5 linked regions of the Daphnia pulex genome follow. The protein of the gene in region 1 purifies or fractionates together with the protein of each later gene. This does not show direct contact. Links are inferred from orthologs where the notes say so. Each region holds a gene or a part of one and is shown in the gene's direction. Other genes may lie near its edges. The genes, in order: lysine-specific demethylase lid-like, protein kinase C-binding protein 1-like, PHD finger protein 12-like, GATA zinc finger domain-containing protein 1-like and mortality factor 4-like protein 1.

The links.
Region 2: the proteins of lysine-specific demethylase lid-like (region 1) and protein kinase C-binding protein 1-like purify together in Homo sapiens (affinity purification with mass spectrometry; 3 studies listed by BioGRID and IntAct, with this or other methods). This does not show direct contact. The link is inferred for Daphnia pulex from reciprocal best matches to the Homo sapiens genes KDM5A and ZMYND8.
Region 3: the proteins of lysine-specific demethylase lid-like (region 1) and PHD finger protein 12-like purify together in Homo sapiens (affinity purification with mass spectrometry; 3 studies listed by BioGRID and IntAct, with this or other methods). This does not show direct contact. The link is inferred for Daphnia pulex from reciprocal best matches to the Homo sapiens genes KDM5A and PHF12.
Region 4: the proteins of lysine-specific demethylase lid-like (region 1) and GATA zinc finger domain-containing protein 1-like purify together in Homo sapiens (affinity purification with mass spectrometry; 6 studies listed by BioGRID and IntAct, with this or other methods). This does not show direct contact. The link is inferred for Daphnia pulex from reciprocal best matches to the Homo sapiens genes KDM5A and GATAD1.
Region 5: the proteins of lysine-specific demethylase lid-like (region 1) and mortality factor 4-like protein 1 purify together in Homo sapiens (affinity purification with mass spectrometry; 5 studies listed by BioGRID and IntAct, counting the BioPlex papers as one, with this or other methods). This does not show direct contact. The link is inferred for Daphnia pulex from reciprocal best matches to the Homo sapiens genes KDM5A and MORF4L1.

Annotation. Positions count from the first base shown.
Region 1 is NC_060026.1:13,806,933-13,811,242, reverse strand, and holds the end of lysine-specific demethylase lid-like, read left to right. Parts: coding exon 1-56; intron 57-120; coding exon 121-418; intron 419-480; coding exon 481-744; intron 745-816; coding exon 817-977; intron 978-1,173; coding exon 1,174-1,445; intron 1,446-1,517; coding exon 1,518-1,864; intron 1,865-1,928; coding exon 1,929-2,110; intron 2,111-2,169; coding exon 2,170-2,511; intron 2,512-2,581; coding exon 2,582-2,870; intron 2,871-2,945; coding exon 2,946-3,184; intron 3,185-3,249; coding exon 3,250-3,405; intron 3,406-3,472; coding exon 3,473-3,613; intron 3,614-3,672; coding exon 3,673-3,737; intron 3,738-3,803; coding exon 3,804-3,921; 3' UTR 3,922-4,272; downstream 4,273-4,310. UniProt on the Homo sapiens protein: Histone demethylase that specifically demethylates 'Lys-4' of histone H3, thereby playing a central role in histone code. Does not demethylate histone H3 'Lys-9', H3 'Lys-27', H3 'Lys-36', H3 'Lys-79' or H4 'Lys-20'.
Region 2 is NC_060028.1:7,382,729-7,386,977, forward strand, and holds the start of protein kinase C-binding protein 1-like, read left to right. Parts: upstream 1-1,447; 5' UTR 1,448-1,599; intron 1,600-1,667; 5' UTR 1,668-1,790; intron 1,791-1,861; 5' UTR 1,862-1,902; coding exon 1,903-2,429; intron 2,430-2,521; coding exon 2,522-2,668; intron 2,669-2,727; coding exon 2,728-2,916; intron 2,917-2,984; coding exon 2,985-3,114; intron 3,115-3,172; coding exon 3,173-3,586; intron 3,587-3,649; coding exon 3,650-3,778; intron 3,779-3,893; coding exon 3,894-4,012; intron 4,013-4,078; coding exon 4,079-4,249. Other genes in the region: myotubularin-related protein 9-like, read right to left, coding at 1-107, 169-318, 381-661, 741-909, 975-1,121. UniProt on the Homo sapiens protein: Chromatin reader that recognizes dual histone modifications such as histone H3.1 dimethylated at 'Lys-36' and histone H4 acetylated at 'Lys-16' (H3.1K36me2-H4K16ac) and histone H3 methylated at 'Lys-4' and histone H4 acetylated at 'Lys-14' (H3K4me1-H3K14ac).
Region 3 is NC_060017.1:4,333,151-4,337,397, reverse strand, and holds the start of PHD finger protein 12-like, read left to right. Parts: upstream 1-1,440; 5' UTR 1,441-1,589; coding exon 1,590-1,637; intron 1,638-1,709; coding exon 1,710-1,903; intron 1,904-1,969; coding exon 1,970-2,039; intron 2,040-2,101; coding exon 2,102-2,450; intron 2,451-2,512; coding exon 2,513-2,627; intron 2,628-2,693; coding exon 2,694-2,823; intron 2,824-2,890; coding exon 2,891-3,061; intron 3,062-3,118; coding exon 3,119-3,226; intron 3,227-3,295; coding exon 3,296-3,492; intron 3,493-3,558; coding exon 3,559-3,686; intron 3,687-3,754; coding exon 3,755-3,961; intron 3,962-4,024; coding exon 4,025-4,141; intron 4,142-4,211; coding exon 4,212-4,247. Other genes in the region: importin subunit beta-1-like, read right to left, coding at 1-96, 171-323, 380-790, 874-932, 1,123-1,177.
Region 4 is NC_060026.1:11,475,879-11,478,988, forward strand, and holds GATA zinc finger domain-containing protein 1-like, read left to right. Parts: upstream 1-1,307; 5' UTR 1,308-1,424; coding exon 1,425-1,844; intron 1,845-1,928; coding exon 1,929-2,178; intron 2,179-2,233; coding exon 2,234-2,397; 3' UTR 2,398-2,608; downstream 2,609-3,110. Other genes in the region: F-box/LRR-repeat protein 4-like, read right to left, coding at 1-262, 321-516, 569-698, 764-927, 993-999. UniProt on the Homo sapiens protein: Component of some chromatin complex recruited to chromatin sites methylated 'Lys-4' of histone H3 (H3K4me), with a preference for trimethylated form (H3K4me3).
Region 5 is NC_060018.1:5,689,432-5,693,272, forward strand, and holds mortality factor 4-like protein 1, read left to right. Parts: upstream 1-1,164; 5' UTR 1,165-1,256; coding exon 1,257-1,308; intron 1,309-1,372; coding exon 1,373-1,487; intron 1,488-1,552; coding exon 1,553-1,648; intron 1,649-1,721; coding exon 1,722-1,873; intron 1,874-1,988; coding exon 1,989-2,113; intron 2,114-2,180; coding exon 2,181-2,282; intron 2,283-2,370; coding exon 2,371-2,462; intron 2,463-2,594; coding exon 2,595-2,697; intron 2,698-2,766; coding exon 2,767-2,836; intron 2,837-2,897; coding exon 2,898-2,982; intron 2,983-3,053; coding exon 3,054-3,138; 3' UTR 3,139-3,341; downstream 3,342-3,841. Other genes in the region: digestive cysteine proteinase 1-like, read left to right, coding at 11-111, 173-218, 318-533, 605-664, 786-970. UniProt on the Homo sapiens protein: Component of the NuA4 histone acetyltransferase (HAT) complex which is involved in transcriptional activation of select genes principally by acetylation of nucleosomal histones H4 and H2A.

The DNA of each region.
Region 1 (4,310 bases):
AAATGGTTGAAAGTGAAAAGGGGTTGCGAAAAAATCTCCTGGCTTGGGGAGTTAAGGTCTGACAAATTAATGGTTAGCAATCTATTGATGAAGGTAAAGATGGATCTTTTTTTTTTACAGGATTCGGAAAGAGAAGCATTCGAACTATTGCCAGATGACGAGCGCCAATGCGATCATTGTAAAACAACCTGTTTCCTATCGGCGTTGACATGTAGCTGCGTCGAAGACAAACTTGTCTGTCTGAGGCACATTAAACTTTTGTGCGAGTGCCCGCCCCAGAAGCACACGCTTCGCTACCGTTACACGATGGACGAGTTGCAAGGTCTTCTCCTGAAAATCCAAGGAAAAGTAGACAGTTTTAATAGCTGGGCTGCGAAATTACGTGAAGCTTTAAAAGGACAAGAAGACGATAGAGTTGGTAAGTTAAACTTGCTAGCATTTGGTTTGTAACGCGTCTTCAAATAATTTTAAACTTTTCAGAACTAGCGGTTTTAAAAGCTCTGCTGTCGGATGCGGATGAACAGAAATTCCCCGGCACCGAATTAGTATTGTCACTTCGGGAAGCAGTGGAAAGTGCAGAAAAATGCACTATGGTGGCCCAACAGCTTATGAGTAGCAAAGTGCGTACGCGTACTCGACTCCAGGGAGAGGCAAAATGTCGTCTAACTCTAGAGGAGTTACAGTTGTTTGTTCAACAACTTAAAAAACTTCCTTGCAAGCTACCCGAATCCGAAGCCATTTGTGGTATAAGCACAAACTGTTTATCTAATTTCCATCCTGAAACTTTGCTCAAATTTTTCCCTCTGTTTTATGCAGAACTTTTCAAAAATGTTTCCGAGTTTCAAAAAGAAGTTAGGCTTCTTCTTGAACCCATCGATGAAAACCAATCTATTCCAGACCTCGAAGTTTTGCAAAAGAGTCTCGAACGTGGAGCTACTTTTGGAATCGATCTACCTGAAATTGGCCGCTTGAAACTGGTAAGTTTGATCGTCCTACTAGCATTAACTTTCATATTCTCTATAAGAACTGTTTACAATTTTGCTTCTTTGCTTTTTATTTATCTATCATTCTGATTGGAATATTGAACGGTAAGGGTTACGATTTTCAAAATGCAGTCTTGTTTTATCGATTTATTTATGAGTTACTTAATTGATCATTTGGGAATGTTTACAGCGAATTCAGCAGGCTGAATGGATCGAAAAGTACCGTGATTTACTCGGGACAAATCCAATTTGGGATCCCGAAGTCATTCCTTCCGCTGATCGCGATGCTACTGAAGAAGACGAAGCAGAAGAGGTTTCTCTAGACTCTTTGCGTGAGCTGCTCGAACTTGGCGTCGGTCTACCTCCTCATCCGGTGTTGGAAAAATCTCTAGCAAAGCTACAAGGATTGCTCGAAATGTCAGAAAAGATCGAAGATAAGGCGAACATTTTTTTGCAGGCAAAGTATGAATTAGGAAAATTTTAATTAATTCCTTTTCGAATTCTTATGTTATTGATTTTTGTGTCTAAATCTAGGCCTAGGCTACCACTTTCTTCTGCTGATATGATCATCAAAGAAGTGGCTTTATTGCCAACTTACCTGCCTTCGGTCGCTGCCTTAAAGGAAGCTGCTAAGAAAGCTCGTGACTGGAACAGCCGTCTAGAGGTTTTACAGAAGTTGGAGTACAGCCCTTATCTTGAGGCGCTTGAAAGCTTGATGTCCAAAGCCAAACCGATTGCGATAAGACTGGATTCGCTCGACGAACTCGAAAATCAGATCGCCGCCGCTCACGCTTGGCGCGAAAGAACTGCTAAAACATTTTTACGAAAGAACTCATATTATTCCCTGATCGAAGTCCTTTCCCCGAAACTCGACGTATTAGGTATGGATTTTTTCAGAATCATTGAATACTTTTTCTGTTTTACTAAGGCAATTTTCAAAATTAGTTGCTTCACGTTTCCGACGCCGTCGACCCAAAGAAGATCCCTTCAACCCAATCAACGTTACTCACGTAATCACCCTCGAGGCAGAGAAGAAGGAAGATCCTCGACTGATCGTTGAAGCTTTCAAAGAGAGTGAAAACAACGAATTAACTAGCTTCAAGCGTATCCGAGTTCAAAACATTCAAGTAAATATCCTAATTCACTTTGACATTATCGTAAACTAATTTTATGTTTTGCCTTTTAGAAAAAAGTACATGATGATCAGGGCCTTGCTCATTACTGTATTTGCCAAGGCAAAGCCCAGGGAGGCATGATCGAATGCGCACTCTGCAAAGAATGGTTCCATCTTTCGTGTTTAAGGGGAGCGAAGCAACAAGGTCCAGGGGCCAAAAACAAGACAAATGGTGAAGGCAATGCGATTAGCGGAATCAAAGATGGCCGTTACCTCTGTGGCTATTGTTGTCGTTCGAGACGGCCTCGTCTAGAAACGATCCTCTCGTTGCTGGTGTCTTTACAAAAACTTCCTGTTCGATTACCCGAGGGTGAAGCTCTTCAGTGTCTCACCGAGAGGGCCATGAACTGGCAGGTGTGTTATTACATTGTTATAATCATCACTTCAAAAATGTAACCCGAATTTGTATTCTTGTTTTACTCAGGATCGAGCTCGTCAGCTGCTATCTACTGAAGAGTTAACAGCATGTCTGTCTCAATTATCTACCATGTTGCAACGTGCTACTGACGCTACTTCTCGGAAGAAAATGGATGGTAAGACTGGATCAAATGAGCTTCAAAAATTGTCGGTGAGCGGAGAGCACCGCGATTTCTTCAGTGGCAGCGAAGAGTCACAGGACAGCGAATGTACGGCTAGAGACAGTATTCCAGAAGTTGTCGAACAACCTCCAGCGCTTAGCAACTCAGAGCATGCGTATTCTTCTTTTTCCAGAGGTAAAAACACGTCGAACAATCGACAAGATAATTTTACGTTTTTAACTAAATTTTGTTGTAATTTGGAAAAATCAGATGGCTCAGGTTGTATGACTTCTAACAAGAAGAATGTACGCAAATCTCCGTTAGTTCCTCGACAGCTAAACTCTTCCGTGTGGACTTCGCCATCAAACAATTCATCATCATGTTCACAGAATGTTCCTCTCATAACTCTGTCCTCTCAAACTGCTGCGAAACTCGAAGATCTCATCCTCGAGGGTGATTCACTCGAAGTGTCGCTCGACGAAACGATCCATATAGGAAGGATTCTTCAGGTATTAGAATTCTTCCCAAAGTAATTCAACAGTTGTGTGACATAATTTGTTTTCATTCTTCACAGGCTATCAAGGCTCCCTCAGAACCTCCTGTGATGGCTCTTCTGTACTCCAAAGATGAAGAACAGGATTGTGAATCCAATGGAGATTCCTTCAGCAAAAAGAAAATGCAAGGCAAGAAGAGAAAGTTGGATCCGCCAGGGGATAAACAGACGCCAAGAGTAAGTCGTCGGATGTTGACAAATTCGTTTGTGAGTGTTATTTTAATATTTTCTCTTTTGTTTTAAGGGTCCCAAAGGCAACAAGAACTCGAAAACGATGAAAGGAAATAAGAAACCAAGAATGATGAAGAAATCGGATGGGAAGAAAAGGCAATCAAACAATGAAAGTGAAAACGACGAAGATTGTGCGGCCGATCAATGCCTGAAGGTATTTCTGAAAATTGTGCGCTTTCGTTCAGTAGAATTAATGTTTTGTTTTTAACATAGCCTGCAGGTAAGGAAGTCATTTGGGTGCAATGTGATGGAGGCTGTGAAATGTGGTTCCATTTGAGGTATTACTATTTTTATTTGGTTCTTATTGGTGGCTAAGGATCTACAAGTGTTGTTTTATTTTCCAGATGTGTCGGATTACAAGCAAGAGACGTCAAGGCCAATGAAGATTATATTTGTCGACGATGTGCTGTTAAAAACCCTCCTGCAGGCGATGATGACATTGACAAGGATGAGCAAAATTAGGACAAAACTAACCGCCGCATTATCTTTTCACTCCTTGTCACATTCTTCACTCTGACGTGGTATGATTTATACATAACCCCAGAACGCATACAAAATCTCCAACTGACCAATGTTGTATAAATGTCCATCGAGAAAAAGTATCATTCAAATCTTTTCACTATTATATTTTGGCCGAGGCTTGCTTTAAAAATTAATTAATCACGATTCCGCCGGGATTCCGATTTCGTCCGCAAATAAGTATTTCGTTTTATTTTGTCTGTATCCTTATCTGATCAATGTCAGCGTAGCGACAATTTAAGTATATTGTGTTTAGTCGAGAAATTCAGTAAATATACTACCGTCATTAAGAAATTTCTCATTTTTTCAGTTGCTCATTTCGTTTTTAAGCT
Region 2 (4,249 bases), on another chromosome or scaffold:
AGTTTGGATAGCGATTCAAGTAAAGACTGCAGTCTTTCAATGGGTTTATGAATGCGACGCCATTGAGGGTAGTGAGATTCGGTCTCAAAACCACCTGAACCTTTAGACTTTGGAACGAAATTTTAGATATTTAGACAAGATTTTTAGATTGAAAGAATGATATTATACTTTGGGGGTCGGTGTTGTGCTCTGGTGGCGGGTATCAATAATGTAACCCCGCATCCCTGGTTTCAACACACTGTTAAGAAGTTTTTCATCCTCACGACAACGCTTAACATTTGGTCCCGAATGAGGCTGACTACTTCTCATCATCACAGCCTGAATAAAAAGAAAAAGAAATAAAAATATTGCAGCATATTTATGATTAAATGGCAACTTACTCCTCCTTCATGCCTGTATGAGAGAACTGGAAATCTCCCTCCAACTCGAAACGATGCAGCAGCTATTAAGACGTCATCATCGACCGACTTGGGAACTACAACAGCAGATGGATAAGACGAGCAGATTGAATAATCCTTATTGACATAAGAAATCCTCCAGTCTTCCTGTTGTTGCATGACTAGTTTGGAAAATTCAGTTTCTGGCCTAAATGCTGTCCAACCATCTTCTATTGCAGTGTAAACTGGCTGATAGAAGAAAGGATAATAAAGAGACTGATTCTCTGTGGTAAAAAAATTATGATCTATTAGCAGGTGGTTTTAGAAGATGTAGGCTTATAAGCACCGATCTGTAATAAATACCTATGGATGATAAGCACTCCAATGAAGCTGAAACATTCATCAGTTCTTCTGTATTATTGAAATCAAAACTGATAACAGAAAAATCTTTGCACTTGAGTGTAAGAGTGCCTCCTGCAGCTGGAGGTGTGTTGGGTTTTCTTTCCACTAAATCTATGATTCTATGAATCAGCTGTAAAAATGAAAAAAAAAACAATGTGAAGGTAATTTACAAAAAACTTAATAAAATTGGTATACCCAAAATTCATCAGGATTTTCTCCTCCAGCAGAGAAAATGAGGTGGTGCCCAGTTATACATAGCACCCCTTCAACAGATTTGTGAAGTGGGCGGTGGACCAAAACCTTTTCTACCCTTGGTGACTTGATGAGATGTGCAAACTCCATTTTCACAGCTCAGCCTTCAGAAAGAGACAATCCATAAATCGGTTTAATGAAACCTAATAATTTTCCACAAACCTTGTATTGTAAGGATTTCTTCACCTGTCACAATCTCCAGCTGGACGATTTCAGAAACGAGTTGCGCGCGCAATTGATCGATAAAGACTAAATGAGGTTAAAAATACAGCATTCGCTTAAAATTTACAGTATTTTGGAAATTATTTTCATCCTGACAGTGAATTATCGTTTCACTTCATACCAAGTGAGCGTAAAAACGTAAACATTGGTGTCGTGAAAAGCAGAAAAAAAAAATATTTTTCATATCCCCAATTGACAACGTTGTTTGCTATATACACCGCCGGTGTGTCTTGTGTGTGTGACTGTGTGTGTGTGTGTGTGTGTAAAATAATTCTGGCGAAACCCTGAGCTGAAATATATCGCATGCTTCTGAAGTGGTTCAAGATTCGTGACACCTTTTTATAGAGTGGGTTTGTTTTCACGACACCATTATTGATGATGCTTTTTAATTTGTAACATTCTTCTTGTTTGTAGCATCATCACTGGACCGAAATATAGATAGCCTGTGGGCGGAGCTTGTTTGATTGAAAAATCCTCTCCGGATTCCGCCTGCTCTAGCGGTGTTTCTACGAAGCACAGGAAGGTCAGTCCTCAGTGGTATGCTTGCTAAATTCTACGTTCATTTTCCGTTTCGCAATAACATATTTATTTGGAATCACTAATTGCAGATATCAAGGGGACAAGGGAAAAACTGTGCTGCCTGCCCGGAATGGATAACGCTGCGACTGCTGATGTCATCAATGAACCTTCCAGTGATAGAGTCATGGAGGATGTTGGTTTAATGTCCAGAAAACTGAACAGTGAAAACAGTGAGCCTGCAGATAATGTGGCCACTGCATGTGAAAACTTCGACACTCTTTCACCTAGGGATGGCACTCCCCAACTAAATGGTGATGAACAGAGCCAGATTGATGATGATGAAGTACAAAGTCTTTTTATAGCTGAAGATTCTGAGGAGGATGAAGATGAAGACGTAGATGAAGATGTGGATGAAGAGGATGAAGAAATGCCAGAACTTTTAGACTCAGATGGTGCTGGGATTCAAACAGCTACAAAGGATGATGGTACTACTGGAGAAACATCAGATGAGGAAGCACCTCCAGGACTCATTCTTAGCCATGGTTCAATAATGAAGCAGGAAGGCAAGAATGTGGACAGTCTCTCAGGTGTAGTTGAAAATGAACAGTTAGAAGATGATTTACAGAGTCTTACTGACAAAGGAGACCAAAACCAAAAGTAAATACAAAAATTAAGTCTATACATTATTCCTTCTCAAGGGTTCCACATGGCAACAATTTCAAAAAATTCTTTTTAAATTTTGCATCTAGCATTAAACTGCAAGGAACTCCATCAGCAGCTCTAAGAAGATCCAGCAGGACTAAATTACCCATCAGCCCATCTCCAAACGACGTGTCACTTTCCGCAGGACGTACCACGCGATCACAGATCAATCCTGACATAATCGCAAAGCAAAAGTAAGGAAATCTGAACTTGTTTTTTAAAGCCATATATTGGAGATCCATTTCTCTTACAGGTCTTTCATGCATAAATACCAAATTGCTGTCAAAAGCTCTATGGACTCGTATGTTCGAAGTGCAACTAGCGAAGTTGAACAGGTTAAAGTGGAAACACAAGCCACAAAGCGCAAATGGGAGGATACAGGAGGGACAGATGCCGTGCATTCTCCTCATAGTTCTCCAATTCAAGAGAAAAGAAACAAAAAGTAACTAAAAAATGAAGCTGGCGTTACGAAGCATTTGTAACTAACTGTAGCACTTTTGCAAACTTTAGATCAATAACAAGCACTCCATCAACAGCAAGTACCCCATCGACCAAAGTTGGTAGCCATTTCATGGAATTGCAAAGCAAGACATTTACGCGCCATGACACTTTTTGCTGGGTGTGTCATATGGATGGCCAGGTAATGAGAAAAAAGTCCCAACGTTTCTGTGATGGATTAAAATGAAGTTTCTGATTAGGTATTGGAATGCAGACAGTGCCCGCGTGTGTTTCATCAACGATGCGTTCAACTTCAGTCCCCAATTCCGACTGATTGGACATGTACGGAATGTTGCTCTGTTCGCAATGCCGAAAAACATAACCATCTCGAGATGGACCAGTTAACTGAAATGCTCAACTTCGCTATGGAGCGAATCAAGTCGGTGGCTGACGCGCAACCTTTCTTTAAACCTGTTGACACGGAAGAATTCCCGCACTACACCGAGTATATTGTTAGTCCGGTGGATATCAGCCAGCTGGAGGAGAAGATTGTTCAAAGATCTTACACTTCCACTAGAGCTTTCCTGGCTGATTTCCGCTGGATCTTGCACAATTGCATAATCTTTAATTCGTCTCACTCAAAATTGACTAGCACGGCAAGAACGTTGATGAAGGTATTTTAAGGTTTAATATGATTTATTTCAAAATCTTAACCAAATCAAATTTCCCAATTGCAGGTGTGTAAACATGAAATGGCTGAGATTGATACTTGTGCCGATTGCTATGTGCATGCTCACACCAAACGAGAAACCTGGTTCCTGGAACCGTGTCAAAGGCCTCATTTACTGCTCTGGGCCAAACTCAAAGTAAATTTCATCTCAAGTCATTCTCACAAATCTAGTTTTAAGTGTTTTAAGTGGCTTGATAGGCACGTCCAATGAGCAAAACAAAAATTATTTAATGATTTGTTGTTTTCCCCAGGGGTTTCCTCATTGGCCGGCTAAAGCGATGAAAGCAAATAAAGAAGGCAATGTGGACGTGCGCTTTTTCGGTGCACACGATCGAGCTTGGGTGCCCGCCAAAGATTGTTTTTTGTACAGGTAAAACAAGAACAAGGTTTATCTTTTTGCAAAAAAAAATTAATGTCAATGTTTGTTTGTTTGCAGCCGCGAAATGCCTATGCAGTTAAAAAATCAGCGCAAAGCAAATTTGATTGCTTCAGTTGAAGAAGTTGACCAACACATCAAAAAGCTTGTTGAGCGCTACGGTTCTTTCGCTTACCCCTCGCCACGTACGGCTTACAACCCAAATAAGGAGGACGAGCAATTACAACAACT
Region 3 (4,247 bases), on another chromosome or scaffold:
AATCTTTACCAATACTTGTAGCCAAATCAGAGATTCTTCAACGCTAGACGATTGTGTGCCGTCGCAGACAACTTGCATGATCGCATCTCGACCTTCCTATTTATAAATAATTCAATATTTTGTATCAAAAATTTTCAAAAACAAAATACAAAAGCAATTGAGCCCAATACCTCAGTGTCAAATGTCGGGTAAATGCATTCCAGAGAACTCAGTAGAGCTCGAGCAGCTGCCAGACGAATTCTTGTAGTTGATTTGCTGTCCTCCATACAAAATAGTATGGAATGGAGGATTGACGTGTAAGAGTTGACCAAAATGAGCACGTGCTAAGACAAATAACATTAAGAGCATTCAAAAATGTGTTATTAACCAGTTAACTCACAATTTCTTGACAAATGAAGGCGATGGCCTCTAAGGCTGCCTCTTTTCGATGTTCATTTGCTGGTTGAACGACCACGTCGCAAAGCTCAGAAAGCAAATCCTCCAGAGAAGTTATCTCAGAAGAAGGCTGTAGTGTTCCCGGGAAGAGACTTTCAGCTACCGCAATGTAAGCCAAACATTGGGCGGCACAACTTGGATGAATGTTTTCTGTTCCCAAGGTCGAAATCAAACGCTCAACCACGGCCATGCGAGTTTCTTCTTCAAGTTTTGACCATCTCTGTAGACACTCTTTCTTCAGGGTCACATCTTTAACAGTCAAACAGTTTTTCAGTTGGAGACCAGCAGCTTGACGAGCAATAGGTGAGTTGTTTGGATCAGCAATTACAACTGACATATTTGAAATAAATTGACCCTATAAGTATGAAAATACAAAGAACAGTAACAGATAATTATGTGGTGTACTAATAAACTGAGATTTGTTTTATTGAAACTAACCATATCATCCTGAGCATACTTTTCCAACGCCAATTGGGTTTCGGCCAATACATTCTTGTCTGAAAATGATACATCTTTATTAATTTAAGATTTAAAATGAAAGTGATATTATAGCTGCAATATGATATGTAGGAGTGTCGTAACATGTTGAGTCAAGAAACTTTGCAAAAAAGCCCCGCAGACAAGTAATATGCAATGTAAGATTGTGATATCAACAATGAAAAGATATTAAGTTGCATTGTTTATTACCTGGTGAAATAGTTTGTTCTAAATACTGGATGAGACACTTCAATGAATTCGCCATTTCTTTACAATTAGAGCCTTGTGGCTGCCGGTGACTGTATAACTGTACGGCACGAGTAGCTTTGAGATGTCAAATCTAAAAATCGACACATAACTCATGACTAAAATCTGAATTCTGAAATGACACAGAATAGGCCTAACGACTGTCAATTATTTTTTAAGTCGTCGCCTTCGGCTGATCATTTGCCCGCAAATTTCGATTTTTAAACGGAACGCCGGTTCGCATGTTGAGCTTCTGTTGGCTGCCGCTAGGTTCTTGGAACTCAGATTGAAAGATGTTGTTTAGCATCGAGTCAAATCGACACTTAAAGTTTTGTTGTTTCTTGATTCTTGCTGTCGTTTTCATCTTTAGAAGATGCTCGCATAGAAACATTAGGATTTAGTGAGATTATAATTACATTTTCTTGTACGCAATGGCCAATTCTCAATATGATCTCGATCTATCGGGTGGATTAATGCCAGTAAGTTCACTCTTTAATCGGCTGTATGCTCATTTATGGATGTCGACTAAGATCGGTGTTTTGTTTATGCAGCAAATTCAAGCTCTACTAGCACCACCTTTGTTGGAAGATATTTCAAAAGAAAAGAGAAAAGACGGATTGGCGTTGCATCCCTACTACAGACGACCAGGACGAGGTCATAATCGCGATAGTTGTGATGCTTGTAAAGAGGGAGGTGAACTCATTTGCTGTGACTCTTGCCCAGCATCTTTTCACCTACAATGCCAGTAAAATAATACCATCAATTCAAATTTATTTCTAATATTTACATTATTCTGTTTTCACTGTTTCAGTGATCCTCCATTAGAGGAGTCGGATTTACCCAAAGGTTTGTGGAACTGTCACAGTTGTCGTATGAAAAAGGTAATTTTAAACTTGTGTAGAGTTAAAAGAAAACAATTGACCAACAAAACATTTGTTTTCAGGCCCAAGATGCTGCAAATCCTCTTACAAATTTCATAGAGGTGGATGACGGAGCAGACTCTGATTCCAGTAAAACTGGAAAAAGACCTTATAACTCAGCAACTCAATCAGTAGGCAGTGGTCAGGGAGCCCCTGAAAGAATATCTGGTCGCCGTCGAACAAACAACTCGGATGATGTTGATGTAGAAACCACTGGAGTTAGTTCAGAAAAGTCCAGTGATAGAGAAGACGTCATTGTTGATAATATGGGCAAAGTCTCATTTTTTGCCCCTCTCATCAGAGTAGCAGCATCTATGAACCCACAGCAATTCGAACTCCCACCAGAACTTGTAGAACCTATTCCTTTTCCAGGTAAGCTAAAACCAATATTAGATAAAATTGATTAACAAGTTAATTAACTTGCCATTTTCTAGGTACCAGTAAATTGTGTATTTCGAAAAAAACCGGATCTGGCCCCAAAAAAAAATCACACGAACTTGATAACGGGCTCGTGCCATTACCGTTACGAGCGTGCTTCTACTGCAGCAAGTATGATTGAATCAGGTTTCTGTTTCAATATAGTTACATCATCAAATTCATCTTTCGAATTCTTAGGAGTTGCCGCAAGGCGCCAATGGTTGCCTGTGACTTTTGCCCCCTGGTTTTCCATCTGGATTGTCTGGATCCTCCCCTTGTTTGCATGCCAGTTGGCAAGTGGATGTGCCCCAATCACCCTCAAAATATTGTAATATTTTGCCTTTTAAAGGAATTTTCCGTTTATCTCACAGAAATGTTGAATTCTTTATCACTAGGAATATAAATTGTTGCCTGATTCACGACTTTCCGAACGAGTGAAGTTTTGGTCGTTCTTACAGAGACCCATTGACCATGAAACTGTAAAAATCAATTTCCTCCGCAAAGTAAACCGAAAAAATCCGCCTTTTCGTCGGAAGGTCGCACTACCTGGTCGTCCTCGTATGAGGGTAAGTGTTAGAGATGCTACTCTTATCTTCGAAAATAACTAACGAAGCATTTTGCAGGTCCCACAAATCATCAAGGACCAGTACAAACATCCACCGTTACTTCCGGCGCGTTTAAATGGAGCTCAACCATTTTACTGGTCGTCCGTTCTCCCAGAAACACGGAAGGTATGTCCATTTTCCTTTCAAAATCTGGACTTCCCCTTTTAATTTGTTAACCATTTCGTCGAATTCCAGAATTTGAAATCATTCGATAAAAATGAATTAATAGACGAGGAAAACAAAGATAGAGAACAATCACGACTTCAGGAGGATGCTCAGCAAATAGCAGCAGACTGCGAAGCAATGTTTTCAAACGAAGGCGAGACTGTCGGAAAATTTGATACTGCGTTACCTGAACGGAGAGATAAAGAGTCTGTGGAAGGATCGAGCTCGTGAGTGGTTCACAAATTAAAAACGCATCAGATTATTCAATATTCAGAAATGTCTTTTATGTTCAGCTCTTCTTGGGATGGTTTGTTTGCTGAAGAGTTTCAAGATATCGAAGCAGATGTCAAAAGTTATTTGGGAACCCTGAGGCGGGGCATGAAAGAGAGTCACTTGAAAGTCTTTATGGAGCAGCTATCGAGTAATTTTCAATACTTTTTCCTCCGCAATAGAACGGGATTATGACTTTTTTAACTTTTTATTTTCTAGATGATTTGCTAAGGGCAATGGATCAAGAAACAGTGAGAGCTCTTGCCATGCAAAGAGTGCAGCAGCTAATCCTGAACCCAGAATCTCGCTCGTTGACTGTGTTCCCTCTTCCTGGAATGATGTCTTCTGGTTGCAGCACTCAGTCTACAGTCATTCCACAACCTTGGCTTCAGGCCAGCAGTGCTTCCGACAGTGGTAACATTATCTGTACGAATTACAGTCTCGAATGGATCAACAACTTTCTATCTTCCCCTCTTATCGATTCAATAGACAGTAGTCAAGCCCAGACGAATGTCTTCCCACGACAGCCTAGAGCATTCCTCTGCCCTCTTAGCTCAGCTTATCCACCAGCACCCATCTACTATCGCCGACTTACTATTGGCACTGGTATTATTTGCCCTTCCATAACTATAGTTGAATTATCGGTTTTATTCTTTAAAACATTTCTGTGCGTTAGGTGCTGACATGGATTTGAACTTGTCTACGTTCGGTG
Region 4 (3,110 bases), about 2.3 Mb from region 1:
GGGTAATTTACTGAGATGGCAAATAGTTGAGGATTGCGCTGGGACTTGGTACTTAAAACAGAGCCGTTGTATACTTTCGATTGCATTGAAGCCTGGCACTAAACGATGGAGCCCCAATCCAATAATTTTCGTAGATAATCCTGTGACACAAAGTTTAAGCGATTCTTCAAACGGAGGATAGGTTTCTGTTCCAACCAGAAGAACAGCATCGATCTCTGGATAATAATCGGCCAAACTGCTGTCTATTTCAACTCTAATAATGCTAAAGAAATATAAAATAGGAATTTTGCTGAAAAAAGAAGCTAAACACTCAGTTCTACCTAGTCAGAAACTGTAGATGATGAGGTTCAGCAGAAAATATCTGTGAATGCTTCAGAGACTTTTTCATATGATTTTCATGAAACAATTTCCAATTTCCTTGGCCATCACCAGCCCACAGTCGTCTCACACAACCAGAGTTATATGTTTCATATACATTTACACAGTATGGATAGACAGGTTTTTGAAACAGGATATCTACATTTAAAGTATGTCAAAAAAGTCCCTAATTGTAAAATGAATGAATTACCAACAAAATCCTGTCCTGTTATGAGAACTTCAGTTTTTCCTTTAGAAGGTGAAATTACTAATGTTTCTTTCCACCATGGCCCATATGTTCTCTGAAGAACAAATGTTTTTTTTTTTAAATAGACCTTCCTCTACATAGTCTTCAGAATATGCTTTTTATTTCACACTTGCACTAATAATTTTAATAAAAAAGTACCGGGACGTAGGTTTCAGGAAAATCTCCATATGCCGGATATCGAGAAGGAGGACCGATTAAATTGTTGGCTGTGTAAGACACTCCATTTATACTTCCATACTGTGAAGTGTAGTATGTCACCTTGCTGGCATACTGCTCTATGAAAATGAGGCCTTCACTATTTCCTAATAAAATCATATAAAATTGATTTAAATGTAGGAAAAAAAATGTTAACACATTTCATTCTCACCCAACATGAATCGTTCAAAATGTCTATCACAGATCAAATTTGGGGGATTTACAAAATATGATTCGGGGAGTCCAAAATACAAATATCTAGCAGAAGAATGGTTTTGTTTACAAACGGAAAATTCATTTTGAGCGCCAGCTAGCGTCTAGTTCTCTAGTAGTGATTTACCATCCAATCGATGGTAAATTTAAATTTTACTAAGACTTTGATTCATCACACCCAATTTTTATTTAAAAATTTAATTTTGCATTCAATGTTTAAACTATTTTTATATAAAATTACACAAGTTAGAAATTGCAATGTTGTAGATTGTTGTCCACAACTTAAGTAAAAGTCTTCTGCTTTGTAAATAAAAAGTGAAACAATTTTTGGGAGACTCGTTTTCGGTGCTAGTGCTATTTCAAGTAATAGATTTTGTTATTAACCTTAACCATGCCATTTGGAATAAAACCTGTTTGTTTTAAATGCGATATCAATATATCAGAGATATGGCAAAAAAACAACGAAGGAAATACAGTTTGCAGCGAATGCTTTCAAGGGAAATTGACAACAACCGTGAAAACAGAATCTATTGTTATAGAAAAGGCGCCTTCACCAGAAATAAAATTTCAAGAAGAAGATGCTTATAATGAAACTATTGAAGTGGATGATGTTGTTGTGGATGAACTTGTGGATGATATAAAGCCACGTAATGAATTTGGCCCAGGGACCAGGTCAGGAAACACAACTTCAAACAGTAGAGGTGGACGCACAGGAACAAAAAAGACACGTGGAAGAAGCAAGAAACTAGGAACTGCCAATAAAGCAACAGTTGGCAAAGGACGTGGAAGAAGAGCTGTTTTCAAGAAACAGGTTAAACAAATCCATAAATTTGATAGAAAAATTAAATAGATTTTTCCAATAACTTTTTATAAATTATTCCTTTTTAAATTTTAGCTACCATCTAAAGCCCCCACTGTTGCTTCTACCTCTTTTACTAGTGGGCATTTGTTTCATCATGACATTTATTATCAAGTGGGGGACATAGTTTCAGTCACAGATGAAGATGATGGAGTTTATTATGCACAAATTCGTGGGCTTCTGCAAGACCAATTTTGTGAAAAAAGTGCTGTATTAACTTGGCTCATCCCAACTCAAAGTTCACCACCCCCAGATGTGGGATTTGATCCACAGACATATATTTTAGGTATGTGAATTTTATATTTTTTTTTCTGTACAGCATTAAAACAGTCTTGGTTTAGGTCCTGAAGAAGAATTGCCACGTAAGCTGGATTATCTTGATTTCGTAATGCATGCGCCGAACGAATATTACAAACTGGATGAAAATGTTCGAGTGTCTAGTGAAAAAGAAGCTGGCTATATTTGGACAAGTATGGGTGCCGTACGAAGAACTATTCATTCATGAAAAATTCCACCAGGATCATCCGTTTATAGTAGAATAGAAAGACCAAGGCAGCCGGCTCTTTTGTTCTTTGTGTCTTTTAATGCCATTACAGATTCGTTTGTAAAACAATTCCATCATTTCTGAAGTTTGTAACTAAAAATATTTGTCACATGTTCTGCTACCTCACTGAAATTCGGAGGAAGAGTAAATTAAATTGTTTGATCTGTTTTAAGTGTTCTTTTCTAAATTTTTAAGAGTTTTCACAATTTTAGTAAGATATTTTCGAAAATTACATGTCGGAAATTATAGAAGATTTTTTTACCTGCTTGCACGGCTTTCTTAAAAATAATACTTGACCATTCCTGCATTACGGCTTGCCTTGCGGGTAACAATGTTTTTAGAAATTATTTTGTGCTGAAATTTTGAGCTGAAATATTTTCTAGTCTACCGGTAAAAATGTTTCGATTATAGTGGTAATAAACAGTTCATTTAAAATATAATGATATTTAAAAATAATATCGATAATGTTAATGAGTTTTTCAAACTTGTATAAGTTGTATGGGTTTTTATTCATTCATAATACTAGCGTCATTCGAACTAATAGACAATTATAACTTGAAATCACCAGCGGGAATTTGTTATTTTAATTTGAGTTTTAATTCAAAACCTTAAAAAAGTTTAAAAGAACTATAACAAATTCGAAATCGTATAGTAGGTTCGTCAAATACATCCAT
Region 5 (3,841 bases), on another chromosome or scaffold:
ATTATTATAGACCAAAGTGTGTGTGGTTCGTGTTGGAGTTTTGGAACTGTAGGAACTCTTGAAGGAGCCCTCTTCCTCAAAACGGGTAAACTGACTCCACTCTCACAACAGGTAAATTAACATCAAATATTTTGTTTCAATGAAATTAATGATGGGAATATGTTTGTTTTAGGCTCTTGTTGATTGCAGTTGGGGTTTTGGCAATAACGGTTGCGACGGTATGTTATTTCATTTGAATATATTTTCACTTTTTCTTCTAAAGTTGTTCTTTGTTTTAAATTTTACCATTTCTTCGCATAATTGTTCGTCAATTAAAGGTGGTGAAGATTTCCGAGTATACCAGTGGATGATGAAGCACGGAGGTATTCCTTCAGAGGAGAGTTATGGACCTTACTTGGGTGCTGATGGTTATTGCCATGTAGACAATGCGACTCTCGTAGCCTCCATTAAAGGCTATGTTAATGTAACATCAGGAGACGTCGATGCGTTGCGTGTTGCCATCTTTAAGTATGGCCCAATCTCCGTTGCTATCGGTAATAAAACGCGGAGGAGTTGTAGTGAAGTCAGGTGGTAATAATTTTCTTTATCGAAACTATTAAAATAGATGCTGCGCATCGTGCATTTTCTTTTTACGCCAACGGAGTTTACTACAATCCTGAATGCGGTAATAATTTTTAAAATCTCGTAATAATATCATGCAATTACCTTTTCTAAAAGAATACTTTCTTTCTTTGAAATCTGTGGCACCATCACACTCATCCTTGAATTACTTTTTTAAACTGTAGGCAGCGGAGAAGACAGCTTGGACCACGCTGTTTTAGCTGTAGGGTATGGAATTCTAAAAGGCGAGCCATACTGGTTGGTAAAAAATTCGTGGTCGACTTATTGGGGAAATTCTGGGTATGTTTTGATGTCACAAAAAGAAAATAATTGTGGCGTCGCGACTTCACCTACTTATGTGATCATGTGAGATTCCAAACATTAAATTTTGTGTTTGCTCCCATCATGAGTAGAAATCTATAGAAAAGCTTGGGAAAAAACAGTAAACATGGATCTCTACGTCTGAGTTTGAATAAAATTGATTGTGGCTATCAAATATTTGTCAGCTGCTATTAAAAAAAAAAAATGTGCTTCGATTTTTTTTTCTTTTTAAAAATTGCATTTTGGCGTTCTGACGTTCTTTTAATGAAACGTGCACCAACGCTAGGTCACGTGACGTAGCAACTAGCAAGTTGTAGCGTCTGCTTTGAACAAAAATGGGTCCCAAAGCTCAACAGAAGCCAGCAACAGAATTCAAATTTAAAGAAGGTTTGTTTTATTAGTCAAATATATCTTTGGATAACTAAATTTAAACGATTAAACAAAATAATAGGGGAACGAGTTCTTTGTTTTCACGGTCCGCTTTTATATGAAGCCAAAAGCCTCAAAGCAGAATTCAAGGATCAACAGAACAAATACTTGATACATTATGCTGGCTGGAATAAAAAGTAAAATCAAAGTGAAATTTATATTGATGAAACTTCCATAACATTTTCCTCTGCTGTTTATACAGTTGGGATGAGTGGGTGCCTGAAAACCGTGTGCTGAAGTACAATGACCAAGCTCTTCAAAAACAGAAAGAACTCCTCAAAGCTCATGAAGCTACATCGTAACTATTGACTTTCATCAACGACTAAGGCTGATTGATCATCTTATTTGGTTTTTCAATTTCTTTGGAACAGGAAAGGAAAGAAACAAATCAAAGGTGTTTCTACCCCTGTTGGCAAACCTCCAGGCCGAAGATCAGAATCATCTAAAGGTGGAGGCAACCTGTCAGATGCTAATACATCAGGCAAAGAAACAGATAGTAGATCTTCTACACCATCACTTCAAGGTACCTTGTCAAAAGTGGTACACATGATGCCATTGTCAGACTATTTGTCTTTCCTTGAAATCAGTCAAGATCAGTGTTACGAAAAATAACATAAAAATTGCTTATATTCCAACAGAAAAACCCACCAAAAGACCTGCCACAGCCTCTACGACAACAACACCTTCTACCACCACTGCTGGTACAGCATCATCTTCTGAAAGCTCAAGAAAGAAGACCAGACCTGACTCTACTGTTGAATCAGTGAGATTTCACATACACTTTCTAAATCTTTTCAACAATGTAGCATTAAAAAACCATTTACTTATAGGAAGAACAGTTTTTATCCAAGGTTGAAGTGAAAATAAAGATTCCAGATGAGTTGAAACCCTGGCTTGTTGATGACTGGGACTATATTAACCGCCAGAAAAAAGTACGTGATTTGAAACGTTAAAGATATTATCTTTCCAGCAATATTTCACTGAGTCACCAAAAACTCATTTCATCCAATTACGCAACAGTTGGCGAACTTACCATCCAAAGTGCCCGTTGACACCATTCTAGAAGATTACATCAAGCACAAAAGCAGCAACCGGACGACCACCCCAAGCAAGTATGTCGCAATTCCGCTGTTACTGCTAGCAAAATGAATACCAATAGCATACATACATTGTGTGTATTTGCTAAACCAAGTGGAGAAACTTTTTTTTTATTTATTTCTTTCCTTTAATTCCTCCATTTTTAGAGAGAGTGCCATTCAGGAGGTCATGGCCGGCTTGAAAGAATATTTCAATGTAACGCTCGGTTCTTCGTTGCTGTATAAATTTGAGAGATTACAATATGCTGATGTAAGTCATGAAGTGAAATTCACAGTGATATACTATACGTTCATACGTTGATTCTTTATATGGCTATAGATTTTGAAGAATCACCCTGACAAAATGATGAGCCAAATTTATGGAGCCCCCCATCTTTTACGCATGTTCAGTAAGTTTCAATTGATTTCAAACCACCATTTAACATATTTAAAATAAACATTATCGTACAGCCCGGCTAGGAAGTATGCTGGCGTATACCCCACTTGATGAAAAGTCGATCCAACTGCTCCACGTTCACCTCCAAGATTTTTTAAAGTAAGTCTGAAAACGAAAGAAACATTTTATTTAAAGACGTTGATTTACATCGGCAGCTGTGATCACGACAGATACATGGGACGCAACGCTTCGACGCTGTTCAGTGCTCAGGATTATGGCAACGCATCGGCTGAATATCACCGCCGCGCTTGCTGAAATACCACGTCAGTGTATCTTTTTTCATTTTTTTTTCGTCGGAAATATTTTTTTCTTTCCAATGTCTCACACATATAAACGAGCCGATTTGAAATCTGGTAAACTTTAAAAATAAAGAAAGAAAAAAGTTTTTTTTTTTAAGCCTCATGTGTAACACAGTGACTTGCCATCGTGTAAACGTAATACATTCAATTGTTACGCGGTTTTTTTTACGGTTCTGCGAATTCTACCGATGACGCCAATCTCTTTGACCCAGCTGGTCTGTTTTTAGACAAGCAATTAATTGTCCTGTTTGTCGGATAGGGAGTCGAGAACAATCGTCGTGTATTATTTCCTTCATTGGGCTCGACATCCGCTCGGAATGGAGTGTGTGTCTAGAGATTTTCGGCTAGATTTTGGTAGTGATCCTCTCTCAAATTGGCATAGACAAAACTCGTGTGTGCAGTGAAAGTGGGCTTTTGAGATGGGAACAACACATCGTCACGGTCCAACTATGTGTACCCCGTCTTCCTCGCTCAGTATTTACTATCTGCTGGTCATTTAAACCCAAACATTGAAATGATAGCCGAGCTGTTCGTGACCGAGAAGAGAAAACAAAACGCTCGTGAGATGAGTGTGTCGTGTAGATTTTTGGGTCTTTGCGTCTATCTTTTTTCATTTTTCGGTGACTGGGCGGATGCAGCGAAGACGAGGGTGATAATAC